Yarrowia lipolytica: one gene and its partners. The protein of the gene in region 1 purifies or fractionates together with the protein of each later gene. This does not show direct contact. Links are inferred from orthologs where the notes say so. Each region holds a gene or a part of one and is shown in the gene's direction. Other genes may lie near its edges.

Region 1 (4,272 bases):
ATGATGAAGAGGAGGAGGAGGAGGATGAAGAGGAGGAGGCTCAAGCCTCTACCTCGGCTGTGCGAGACCTCACGGGTACAGAGCTTGCTACGTTGCGAAAGAAAATTTATCTGACGGTCATGTCGACCATGTCGATCGACGAAATCGTTCACAAGCTTGTCAAGCTGTCTCGAACGGTTATTGAGATCCCTGAGGGTCTCCCCGAAGACCAGGCTCTGATTCTGCGTCTCAAGCGGACCCAGGAGGTGACGAACATGCTTGTGGAGTGTTGTGCTCAAGAGAAGATTTATAACAAAATCTACGGAGGTACAGGAGAGCGGCTTCTGAGACTGTCGCGGGAATGGAGAACCAACTTTGAGAACACCTTTGGGTTCTTTTACTCGGTTATCCACAGATACGAGCCCAATCAGATCAGAAACATTGCCACGTTCTTTGGGTACCTGTTGGCATCAGATTCTCTGTCGTGGAAGGTTTTGGAGGCTGTTTCTCTGACTGAAGAGGACTCGAACCCCTCGAACCGTATCTTTCTCAAGATTATGTTCACCGAGATGCGTCAGGAGCTGGGAATGGATCTGTTGAAGGAGCGACTTTCCAAGTCGTTTGTGCAGCAGTACATTGCCGGTATGTTCCCCAAGACGAATGCTTCTCATGTTCGGTTTGCCATCAACTATTTCACTGCCATTAATCTTGGTCCTTTGACAGATGGTATGCGGGAGATTCTTCCTGGTCTGGTGGAGGAGGAGGAGAGGCTGAAGAAGGAGGAGGAAGAGCAGAAGCGAGAGTACGACAGTTACGATTCATACGACAGTTATGACTCATACGACTCCTACGACTCCTACGACTCCTACGACTCCTACGACTCCTACGATAGTTACGACTCCTACGATAGTTATGACTCCTATGACTCCTATGACTCCTATGACTCAGTGTCTGAGGATGATCGGGGGCGACGACGACGACGAGGTGTAGGAAGTAGAAGGCGGTCGCTAACTCGGTCTCCTGGTTCGCGGTCACGGCCACGATCCCGGCCACGATCCCGGTCACGGTCAAGATCTCTATCTCGGGATAGAACCGGTTCTCCGCCTCGTGGTCGACGGCGGTCTCGATCTTATTCCCGTTCGCCTTCGCGGTCATACTCTCGTTCGAGATCTTATTCCCGATCGCCATCTCCGAGACCTAAATCTAAAGGGGCTAAAGGCCGGAGCAGTTACCGGGCCGCCAGTTATTCGCGGTCGAGATCTCCGGTCAGACGAGTTGGTTATTCTAGAAGCAGGTCTCCAAGCGTGTCTGGAGGTTCCTCTCGAAGTCCTTCTAGAAGTCCTTGTAGAAGCCCCAACAAGGGCCGTGCTCCTACTCCGGAGAAAGGTCTTTCGCCGCCTCGAAAGCGAGTGCGCGCCAGTGATTTGTTCTAACACACGCCCCCCGCACCCCCCGCACCCCCCGCGCCATCAGGTAGATGTAATTGATACTGTATTTTTTTAATTCCTTCTCGTCTCTGTCTGTTTGTTGAATTTTTTCCCTCTCATTTACCCCATTTTCCGCCCGTCCAACCAACAACCGCTTTTTACGGCTACAACCGGGTATTAGCGCATTTCACCTAAAATAAGCTTCCGTTGGCTTAAACAGTTTTGACTCTCTGCGATTGCTAAGCACCATCACGGGGTCCGTGTGTCTCTACAGAAGAGTATATATAGACGGGCGTGTTCCGCAATGATAGGCCACGATCACAAACACACACAGTGAGTATCTTGTGCGCCAATTCTTAAACGCCACCAGCGCCGCCCTCAGACCCTCCGCGCGAACACGGACCTGTCATAGTGCACGTATGTACAGTATGTACTGGCAGGAGAGTGTGTGAACTCAAATGTGACATTTGCCTTTGACTATTGTTCCGGACCCAACAAGAGCAGGGTAAGTCTGCTGCGAGGAGCGCACCTACAGAGACGCATAGTTTAACAACTCACCCAGACCCTTCCGAAATTCACACATATTTCCAACACGACAATGTTGCGAACCACTCGAATTCTTCCCTCCAAGTTCGGCGTTGCTGCCCGAACCCGAGCTGTGACCCAGTTCCAGCGATGCTACAGCTCCGGTGAGTATCTGTGCGACAGGGAGGGCTTTTTTACGGGGAAAAAACTCCCCCGATGCGATACCACCATGGCCGCGACGACACACAAGGATCCATGGGAAGAGGCAATGAGAAAAGGACATGAGACGTGTCAATTGGACATTTTGAATTGCGAATTGTGCCACTGTCTTTTGTCTGCACCATAGTCGCCCCGTTGCACCCCTCCGGCCAGCGTCCGCCACCCCACACAAGGCAAATACTAACAACAGCAAACGAGGAGCTTGATGTCCTTGTTATCGGAGGTGGCCCCGGTGGATACGTCGCCGCCATCAAGGCCGCCCAGGCCGGCCTCAAGACCGGCTGTATCGAGAAGCGAGGCTCCCTCGGAGGAACCTGTCTCAACGTCGGATGTATCCCCTCCAAGTCTCTGCTCAACAACTCCCAGATGTACCACGCCATCAAAACCGACTCCGCCAACCGAGGAATCGAGGTCTCTGACGTCAAGATGAACATCGCCAAGCTGCAGGAGGCCAAGGAGACCTCCGTCAAGGGTCTCACCGGCGGTATCGAGATGCTGTTCAAGAAGAACAAGGTCAACTACTACAAGGGCGCCGGTTCTTTTGTGTCCGACTCCGAGGTCAAGGTCGACCCCATTGATGGCGGCGAGGCCGTCACCCTCAAGGCCAAGAACATCATCATTGCCACCGGCTCTGAGCCCACCCCCTTCCCCGGCATCACCATTGACGAGAAGAAGATTGTTTCCTCCACTGGTGCCCTTGCCCTCGAGGCCGTCCCCAAGAAGATGGTCATCATCGGAGGAGGTATCATTGGTCTCGAGATGGGCTCCGTCTGGTCCCGACTCGGCTCCGAGGTGACTGTTGTCGAGTTCCAGAACGCCATTGGCGCTGGTATGGACGACGAGATCGCCAAGGCCGCCCAGAAGATGCTCACCAAGCAGGGTATCAAGTTCAAGCTTGGCACCAAGGTGCTTTCCGGTGCCATTGAGGGCGACGGTGTCAAGGTCGAGGTCGAGAACGTCAAGAAGGGCGACAAGGAGACCCTTGATGCCGACGTTCTGCTCGTTGCCATTGGCCGACGACCCTACTCCGAGGGCTTGAACCTCGAGGCTGCCGGTGTCGAGAAGGACGACAAGGGCCGAATCATCATCGACCAGGAGTACCGAACCAACAAGTCCAACATCCGATGCATTGGTGACGTCACTTTCGGCCCCATGCTGGCCCACAAGGCCGAGGAGGAGGGAGTTGCTACCGCTGAGTACATTGCCACCGGTCACGGCCACGTTAACTACGCCGCCATCCCCTCTGTCATGTACACCCACCCTGAGGTTGCTTGGGTTGGACAGACTGAGCAGCAGGTCAAGGAGGCCGGCATCAAGTACAACGTCGGCAAGTTCCCCTTTGCCGCCAACTCTCGAGCCAAGACCAACCTCGACACCGAGGGTACCGTCAAGTTCATTGCTGACAAGGAGACTGACCGAATTCTCGGTATCCACATCATTGGCCCCAACGCCGGTGAGATGATCGCCGAGGGTGTTCTTGCCCTTGAGTACGGTGCTTCTTGCGAGGACATTGCTCGAACCTGCCACGCCCACCCCACTCTCTCCGAGGCTTTCAAGGAGGCCGCCATGGCCACTTACGACAAGGCCATCCACTTTTAAGCGCTTTTAGTGGTGCTTTTAGTAGTAGATAATAATGACTGAACTGTATGGTAGCGAGTGGCCAGGTCAGGTCGCAAGCCAACTTGTAGAGTACATGGCCGTAGGTGACGGGCGAACTAGAGCAAGTACAAGTAGATTTCATTTGGTCGTAGATCACAAAGTGCCAACTGGTAAAGCCGAAATGTTCTTGGATCAAGAGCTGATCTGGGGTGCACTATCAAGGTGTGTGAATGTCTAAAGAAACGGCTGAAGAAGTGCTTCCACTGATACTCCTCCGCGAAGTACGAATTCCAGCTGCACGAGTGTATAGTATCTTACTGTACATGTAGAACAGACGGCAGTCATATCGGATCAAGCATGACACAGTTAGGTGGAAGAAGCAACGAGGCATGATTGTGTTGTGTCTGAGTGTCAATGGGTTTGTCTTTGCTGCTTGTAGTGGATCATTAGACCAGTTGATCTGAGTTTGCGATTATCTTTCATGAATGGTGTTACTTGATATCTCTTCGCACCGTAGCTCTAC
Region 2 (5,906 bases), on another chromosome or scaffold:
ACATGATGGAAGTGTGCTATTCAGAGCCTCAGAGCCGAAGAGAGTTTCTATCGAAGCACAGACAGCTGTTAACTGAAATCGGGTAATAAGGAGTCGAAAATAGTGTGTTTGAAATGTTGAATTTCTGACATCTGGGGTAAATAACAATAATAACAACCGGAAATACTGTTGACTAATGACGGTAAGTTTTTTGGAGAAATTGTTTCCGAGGGGATAACGTCCGTTTGAGGGATATTTTCGGATCTCCTACAAGTACTTGGTCCAGTTGTGCAGTGCTCATTTAAAATACGAACAAAATTACTGCCGTTATCTCCGCTGCAGTATGTACTCGTAGTAACGCTATAAAAAACTTATAGCAACGTACTGTAGTGTGAAAATAGCAGGGGGACAGGTCAATTGCTCCCCCCCCGTAGAATATGTAGCTAATGCCACCGTCTACTTGTGGCTAAAAGATCGTTGGGTGTAGTTTGTCGTCAACTGGTCCCCCCGCATCTTTCCGAAATTCTATCCTCAAAGCTATCTTGCATGTACGTGTCATCTGTCCACGGGTGATCATAGTTCTCTTCTAACGAGTCTGTCTCAAAATCACGTATTACTCTCTTCGCACTATAGCAAACCTCGGAATAGCAACTACAGGATGGGATACAGATTTCACCGTAGAAGAGTCCCAAAAACCCGACGATACTCCACCTAACCGCCCCCCCTTACAGCCTGGACGAGTTTTAATATTCCCTTTTAGCTGTAGCCAAGCCTCTGGTTGGGGCATAGACTGCATAGTTCCGAACTTCTCCGCATCACGTGACCAGAAACTCCCACATCTCAACTTACATATCTTACATTGTCCTTACTGGTCGGGCCAAAGAGAACACCGCTGCGCTTCCATGCTGCGTGCCGTTACATCCCATGATACAAAGCCGTGCTGCAATACACTTGTACAAGATAATCCTTCGCCGCACAATTGCATTGCACAACTGTGGGGTAGCACCTGGTAACACAATCCACACCGTGGGCGTTATCTTTCCCATCGCACACGCGTTGGTACTCTTCCTAAACCACCTGAAATACACAAAGCTGGCCAATGGCTATCTCCGCAACTTGCTCTATAGTATAGTTATGGGCGCAACCTTGTTACCATGTTTGAAGGAGACACACTGCCATTGCATAACAGGGAGTGAAGCAAAGTCGGCGGAAACCGTCGGAATATCGCCAAGTGGGGCTCGGGAGAAGGCTAGAGGGGTCAGTTAGACAGCTATGCCCTCACAGCGCTCAACGGGTCTGGTCCGGAAAATTCTGCAGAGTTATCCCGGGTGCTGGCCGCTGGAAAAATAGAGTTTCACAAGAAACTGTAAAACTGGGGCCGGTTCTTCCGGTTTATATAAATATTTGACGCTCTCCACAACTTACCCCATAACGAGTTAACGTGAGTAGTACAATGGGTGTACTTACGGTCGAAACGATACCTGCGGAGACGGCCAATTACGACATTTGTGGCCGCTGGAGTGGAATTGATGGAAAAAATCGCTTGCGATTCGTTTGTTTCGATTTGAGAGGGTCTGGAACCCATGATTAAATCCCGCTAACAAATAGATGCTCAGACACGCTTTATTGAAAAGGACCCCCGTCCTCCCGCGACTCACAAGTCGCAAGGCCTTCGTGCCATTGATCCAGAAACGAAAGTACTCTGATGACGTCTTCCTTACCACCAACGCCGCAAACTACATCGATGAGATGTATGCCGCATGGAAGGACGACCCCAAGAGTGTCCACGTCTCTTGGCAGGTGAGTGATAGTGGAGGAATCGGAAGCTGATGGCTTGTACTACGACTTGTGATGGTTATTTTTGGTTGTTTTGGTGGACATTCGACACTTGGCGTGTGAAGTGATGGAGTTGGGCCCAAGGTCATGGAGGCAAGTGGCTTATTTGCAACCGAACTGTATCACGGATACAGTGAGAGTGTACAGATAAGTCGTTTTGTTGACACGACACCTACGAATGGTTGACCCCTTCCTCCTTGCTCCAGAATGCACTAGCTAGCACAATTGAGAGACCTGCTGTTGCATTTTTCTGCGCCTGCCTGTAGCAATTTGTATGTCTCTCGATTGGCTCAGTACCTCTGCATCTCTGCACACTAGACCTGCCCTTCGTTTGCGGTTGCCACCACTAGACTCAGGGTGTCTTCCCGCATTGGGAGTTACGGGTTGAGCCGGAGCATGGAAAAACGTGCATGCAGGACGCAGAATTGTTGGTCGGAACGGACTAACAGGTGTATGCGCCGAGAGAGATCCCGGCGTGTGTGATTAGTAAAGGTTCTGGACGTGTTTTTGACATACCCCACCTGACTATTCCTCAATTGTCCATTCCTGGGCTTTTTGGATTTTAGTTTCATTACTTTTTGCACATGCTTGGTGTTTATCTCTAACTCCTGCCCCAGCAAGTCCCAACTGCACCTTAATTTAGGCCTCCCTGACTTAACTAAATCCCAACTAAACCTACCCAGCAAATGTATCAACCAGAAGCACGGCCGCAATTGACCTATACTAACTCAGTCTTACTTCAAGAACCTGGATGGTGGCCTTCCTGCCGACAAGGCATTCTCTGCCCCTCCCACTATTGTGCCCTCTCCCTCTGGAGGTGTTCCCACCCCCGCTGCCCCCTCCGGCGCTCCTTCTGACATCACCAACCACATGAAGGCCCAGCTGCTGGTTCGAGCCTACCAGGTCCGAGGTCACACCAAGGCCAAGATTGATCCTCTTGGAATCTCCTTTGGCTCCGACAAGAACAAGAAGCCCCCTAAGGAGCTGACCCTCGAGTTCTACGGATGGACCGACAAGGATCTCGACACCGAGATCACTCTCGGCCCCGGTATCCTCCCCCGATTCGTCGAGAACGGTAAGAACAGGCGAACTCTCCGTGAGATTATCATGGACTGTGAACGAATCTACTGTGGCTCCTACGGTGTTGAGTACATCCATATTCCCTCTCGAGAGGAGTGTGAGTGGATCCGAGACCGAGTCGAGACCCCCAAGCCTTACAACTACACCCCTGACCAGAAGCGACGAATGCTCGACCGACTTATCTGGGCTAACCTCTTCGAGACCTTCCTTGCCTCCAAGTTCCCCAACGACAAGCGATTCGGTCTTGAGGGTGCCGAGACTGTCGTTGTCGGTATGAAGACTCTGATCGACCGATCCGTCGATGCCGGAATCGAGGACATTGTTATCGGTATGCCCCATCGAGGTCGACTCAACATGCTTTCCAACGTTGTGCGAAAGCCCAACGAGTCCATTTTCGCTGAGTTCCAGGGATCTGCTGTCTTCGACGAGGGTTCTGGAGATGTCAAGTACCATCTGGGTGCCAACTACCAGCGACCCACCCCCTCTGGAAAGAAGGTCAACCTCTCTCTTGTCGCTAACCCCTCACATCTTGAGGCTGAGGACCCCGTTGTCCTGGGTAAGACCCGAGCTATCCAGCACATGAAGCATGACGTCGGCACCTTCGACAAGGCCATGGGTGTGCTCATGCACGGTGACGCTGCCTTTGCCGGCCAGGGTGTTGTCTACGAGACCATGGGCATGCACTCTCTGCCTGCCTACTCTACCGGTGGAACCATCCACATCATCGTTAACAACCAGATTGGTTTCACCACCGATCCTCGATTCTCCCGATCTACCCCCTACCCCTCCGATCTGGCTAAATCCATCGATGCCCCCATCTTCCACGTCAACGCTGACGATATGGAGGCCGTCGACTTCATCTTCAACCTGGCTGCTGACTGGCGAGCTACCTTCAAGTCCGATGTCATCATCGATCTTGTCTGCTACCGAAAGTTCGGTCACAACGAGACCGATCAGCCCTCGTTCACTCAGCCTCTCATGTACAAGAAGATTGCCGACAAGCCCAACCCTCTTGACATCTATGTCGACAAGCTTCTCAAGGAGAAGACTTTTACCAAGGAGGACATTGAGGAGCACAAGCAGTGGGTCTGGGGAATGCTCGAGGAGTCTTTCAAGAAGTCCAAGGACTACGTGCCCCATCAGAAGGAGTGGCTCGCTTCTCCTTGGGACGACTTCAAGACCCCCAAGGAGCTTGCCACCGAGATCCTGCCCCATCTCCCCACATCTGTTGAGGAGAAGAAGCTCAAGGAGATTGGAAAGGTCATCTCCTCTGTTCCGGAGGGATTCACCCTTCACCGAAACCTCAAGCGAATCTTGTCCAACCGAGGCAAGTCCGTTGAGGAGGGCCATGGCATTGACTGGTCCACTGGTGAGGCTCTTGCCTTCGGTACTCTGCTTGAGGAGGGCCACCACGTCCGACTTTCCGGTCAGGATGTCGAGCGAGGTACCTTCTCTCAGCGACACGCTGTTGTCCACGACCAGGTTAACGAGACCACATATGTTCCTCTGAACCACCTGACCAAGGATCAGGCCGACTTCACCGTCTCCAACTCCCATCTTTCCGAGTACGGTGTCATGGGCTTTGAGTACGGTTACTCCCTGGCTTCTCCTGAGGCCCTTGTCATCTGGGAGGCTCAGTTTGGTGACTTCGCCAACACTGCCCAGGTCATCATTGATCAGTTCATTGCCTCCGCCGAGACCAAGTGGTCTCAGCGATCCGGCTTGGTTCTGTCTCTGCCCCACGGATACGATGGACAGGGTCCCGAGCATTCTTCCGGACGAATTGAGCGATACCTGCTGCTCGGAAACGAGGATCCTCTCCACTTCCCCTCTCCCGATAAGCTTGAGCGACAGCACCAGGACTGCAACATCCAGATTGCTTACCCCACTACCCCCGCCAACATCTTCCATCTGTACCGACGACAGATGCACCGAGCTTTCCGAAAGCCTCTGGCCTGCTTCTTCTCTAAGAACCTGCTGCGAAACCCCATGGCCAAGTCCGACCTCTCTGAGTTTGTTGGTGAGTCTCACTTCCAGTGGGTCATTGAGGACGACCAGCATGGCAAGACCATCAACAACAAGGAGGGCATCGAGCGAGTTCTCTTCTGTTCCGGCCAGGTCTGGACTGCTCTCTTCAAGCGACGAGAGGATCTTGCTGACAAGAAGACTGCTATCATCCGAATCGAGCAGCTGCACCCCTTCCCTTGGGAGCAGGTCCGAGAGCTTCTGGACTCTTACCCCAACCTTAAGGATATCTGCTGGGCTCAGGAGGAGCCTCTTAACGCTGGTGCCTGGGTCCACATCCAGCCTCGAATGTACACCACCTTCCAGGCTACCAAGAACCACAAGCATGCCCACATTAGATACGCTGGCCGAAAGCCTTCTGCATCTGTTGCTGCCGGTACTAAGAAGCTGCATCTTGCTGAGGAGGAGGCTCTTCTGAAGCAGGCTTTCCAGCAGGAGGATAAGGCCTAAGTGGTCTGTTCACCCTTATGAATGTCATTTAATTGTATATGAAACGCTTGTTGAAGTGTATGAACTGAGAACAAAAAGTATGTATTATTGTAGCGAGTGACTTCGGTGTATTCAGCCCATTTTGTAACGGAACAGAGGAGATATATTGTACAATAAATGTGAAATATAGGACTGGAGAGACAAGAGGTTGTAGACTATGAGAAACTGCGAAAAGCCAGAGCCATATTAGCAGCTACAAGCAATGTCGCTGTCGATGTAGCCCATGTTTACCATGACTGTAATATAAACAGTAAATTCGACTGGTATCGGTACCAGTAAGCAGACTACTGTAACAATAGAGCGTACGTTTACCATAGGTAATCCTACTGTGTAGACTTTGGAGAGTGGTTAATTGGAGCAGACATTATCTACAGCTAAAAACACAGCTACAAGTAGCTCTGACAATGCTCGGGTCTTCCCATGGGGCTGTACCTATGAGACTAGCCCTTGAAACAGGAGAAGTAATTAAACCATAAGCCAGAAAATTGTGTTTGGAC
Region 3 (3,379 bases), on another chromosome or scaffold:
ATTCGGCAGTAGCAAGGGTAGACATAATAGTATCATTTAATCAGCTTGCGATTTCGAATTGGTTTCTTGTATCATTTACCTCGAATTTTCGAAATAAAAGTGTCAGAGACAAGCGCTGTCGTTTCTCAGGGGCTATACATAGACATACTACCAGTACGTATGTCGGGAAGTCCCACAAGTGTGAATCAATTCCAGGCTACATAGGCCGATTTGGTGAGTTGATTCAACAAGCCTGATCTTTCCAAGCAACTCTTTAGCGGCAAAATCGTCGTTATTCTGCCGCAAGTTTTTCTTTTTTTTTTTTTTTTTTTTTTTTTTTTTTTCAAAACTTTTCAAATTTTTATTTTTTCATATTGAGCAGTTGTCACACGCATGTAGATGTCACACAGCATGCACCAGTAACAGTGGAAGAACCTTGTAGCTACTCATTGGTCCACAGCTTCTTTGTTAAGTCTGTTCTATCATACTTGATCTTCTCCTTTGATCGGTGGTCCAGCTTGCTAATTTCTTCAATTCTTCAAGTCTCATTTTTTTAATTTTTTTTATAATAAATCATCAAATAAATCTCTTTCGACCCCCACTCCCAACAAGATGCTAGACCGGAAAATTAGTCGAGGGTTAGGGTGCGTTGTTTTTCCGTCCCAACAGAATGTCGAGACCAACGTCAGTTGTCCGAACGTAATAACGACACCTTTGAGGCACACAATGAACCGACTGTTGAGAGTTATTCCCCGGGCCCGACGTGAGTATTGCTGGCAGCGACGAGTCACATACAGATGGATGTTTTCCACATCGTGACTGCCGTTCAATTGCTCCCCTTGAGTGCATTATTAGTGACATGTGTGATGCTGGGCGGGAGTCGAAGAAGGAGACACAGAAGGAGGAGACGGAGATACAGAGTAGATTGTGGTTCACGTGGCCGTGTGATTGCGAGCAGGCCGTCTCGTTTCCAACAGCTTTCGTTTCTCTACTACACTGTTGCCATTTGTTGCTATTCGTTGCATACAGTACGCAGATATTGGACACTGAAGGAGATCAGCAATGCAGAATGGAGATGGGTGAGGACAAGAGAAAAGGGAGTGCGTTAGATGAGGTTGATTGATCGGTTTGGTTTGTTGTGGTGATTTTTGATTCTCTTGTCGGCAAGTGCATCTTCTTGGGGTTATGGGTATCCACATTCAATATCTGACGGGTTGAGTCTACATTGAGACATCTATGATGGTTGATACAGATGGTGTTATTATGAGGGTGATTTGAGGGTTGACATTTTGTGCCAGTGAATATCGACCGTTGCACAGGTTCCGTGTTTCTCGATGTCGTCACTCTCCGATCTGATCTCTGATCCACCCCTGATGACTTCCACTAATATGGAACAAATTACACCCATTCCACTTCTGTCCTCTTGTGAAATACTTGCAATTGAGTGGTACAAGTGACATTACTCTGCTCTCTTCGGTTTTTTCTTCTGGCTCTTGAATTTCGGCATTTAATCATATCTGAGACGCTGAACCGGGACTTTGCTGTGTGTTAAACTGTGAGGTTTACACATGCTATTATCCTTTCCTGACCTAGCTGCGGCTAGTCGTTTCCGTGTATTGGTTCCGTTGTTGTCCGATCGGACCCACAGCCGTCATTTTACTAACCCAGTGCTCCACACCACCCCTCGCCTCTATCAGGCCAGCAACTTTGCCATGCCAGCCATGAGTCCCACCATGACCGAGGGAGGCATTGTGTCGTGGAAGGTCAAGGAGGGCGACGAGTTTTCAGCTGGTGATGTCATCCTTGAGATCGAAACCGACAAGGCCCAGATCGACGTCGAGGCTGCTGACGATGGAGTCATGGCCAAGATCTACAAGAAGGACGGTGACAAGGACATTCAGGTCGGAGACACCATTGCTGTGATTGCTGAGCCCGGAGATGACATCAAAACCATTGATATTCCTGCTCCTGTCGAGTCGGACGGCAAGCCTGCTCCCAAGGAGGAGGCCAAGGAGGAGGTCAAGGAGGCCCCTAAGGAGGAGGCTAAGGCCCCTGCCCCTAAGGCTCCTTCTACCCCCAAGGAGGCTCCCAAGACCGAATCGTCTTCTGCTCCCTCATCATCCGGCTACTCTGCCCCCGCTAACCCCGCACAGACCCTTCTCCCTTCGGTGTCCTCGCTTCTTGTGGCCAATGGCATCTCCAAGGAGGACGCCTTTGCCAAGATCAAGGCCACCGGTCCCCACGGCCGGCTTCTCAAGGGCGACATTCTCGCCTACCTCGGAAAGGTCCCTGAGGGCTCTCCTGGCGCTGTTGCCGACGAGATTAACAAGCGATCCCATCTCGACTTGTCCAACATCAAGCCCGCCAAGAAGAGCGATGCTGCTGCTCCCACTGGGGCTGCCAAGGCTGGAGATGCTGCTGCTCCTGCTACCAAGGCTGCTCCCGAGCCTGTCATCTTCACCTCGTTCCTCGATGTGGCCCACTTTGAGCCCGAGGACCAGCTCGAGCTGCAGCGAATCGTCAAGCAGGCCATCAAGCTGGCCAAATACGACGCCGTGGAGCTCGCAAAGCCCCGCCGATCCGCCAACGTGGACCCCGACTTTGAGGCTATCATCGGCCCCGCCAAGGGCACCAAGTTCTACGACGTGAACGTCATCTACCCCAAGTCCACAAAGCGGGCTCTCTCCAATGGGGCCGACCTGTATGACATTCTGTCGGACCGAAAGCCCCGAAAGGCTGCTGTCCAGGTGCCTTCCAACACTGTGCAGGTCGATGTAACAGTCAACGACAAGGTCCCCGGTGCCGAGAAGCGAGCCAAGCTTTTCTTGAACAGACTGGAGTATCATTTGACTGTGGAGGAGTAGGAGAGACAATGTCGAGCATAAGATGATACAGCACATAGAGTGTGCTATACAGTATAACGAAGGATATATATAGGTAGGGTAAACATGTGAATGGTGGTGAAGAGCATTTGCTAAGGGGTGCTCTTATTGTAGCGTTCCTTGATGGTATGACTGTAACTCAGTAATTCAGGTCAACTACATATGTACAGTATGTATGTAGTATTGTTCTTACATGATACATTCGTAGTAAGGGTATTCGTTTTCAATTTTACAGAGCATTCCCTTAGCTCGTGCTACAAGTGCGTTGGGTAAGGATGATTTGCTACGCCTCATGATCTTCGCTCCCCTCGTGCTCTTCGGTTAATCAGTTACTATATACACAACAAGATTATTGCTTCTTCTTGTTCTTCAACTTCTGCTTATGCTTCTGTTGCCAGGTCAACTTTGTCTGGGGCTCTTCAAGCGCCTTCTTTTTGTCCTCCTTTCGCTTCTCCTTAATGTCCTCCACAAGCCCGACGGTGTTAGCCTTGAGGGTGTTGAAGTCGCGCTCAAAGCCG

The links. Proteins that work in one complex are often made in the same cells at the same time.
Region 2: the proteins of YALI1_D26360g (region 1) and YALI1_E39693g purify together in Saccharomyces cerevisiae (affinity purification with mass spectrometry; 5 studies listed by BioGRID, with this or other methods). This does not show direct contact. The link is inferred for Yarrowia lipolytica from reciprocal best matches to the Saccharomyces cerevisiae genes LPD1 and KGD1.
Region 3: the proteins of YALI1_D26360g (region 1) and YALI1_B13179g purify together in Saccharomyces cerevisiae (affinity purification with mass spectrometry; 3 studies listed by BioGRID). This does not show direct contact. The link is inferred for Yarrowia lipolytica from reciprocal best matches to the Saccharomyces cerevisiae genes LPD1 and PDX1.

What each region holds. Positions count from the first base shown.
Region 1 is NC_090773.1:2,634,100-2,638,371, reverse strand, and holds YALI1_D26360g (uncharacterized protein), read left to right. Parts: upstream 1-2,004; coding exon 2,005-2,095; intron 2,096-2,340; coding exon 2,341-3,749; downstream 3,750-4,272. Other genes in the region: YALI1_D26394g (uncharacterized protein), read left to right, coding at 1-1,412.
Region 2 is NC_090774.1:3,967,765-3,973,670, forward strand, and holds YALI1_E39693g (uncharacterized protein), read left to right. Parts: upstream 1-1,587; coding exon 1,588-1,779; intron 1,780-2,547; coding exon 2,548-5,370; downstream 5,371-5,906. UniProt on the Saccharomyces cerevisiae protein: The 2-oxoglutarate dehydrogenase complex catalyzes the overall conversion of 2-oxoglutarate to succinyl-CoA and CO(2).
Region 3 is NC_090771.1:1,316,121-1,319,499, reverse strand, and holds YALI1_B13179g (uncharacterized protein), read left to right. Parts: upstream 1-1,547; coding exon 1,548-2,843; downstream 2,844-3,379. Other genes in the region: YALI1_B13150g (uncharacterized protein), read right to left, coding at 3,211-3,379. UniProt on the Saccharomyces cerevisiae protein: Required for anchoring dihydrolipoamide dehydrogenase (E3) to the dihydrolipoamide transacetylase (E2) core of the pyruvate dehydrogenase complexes of eukaryotes. This specific binding is essential for a functional PDH complex.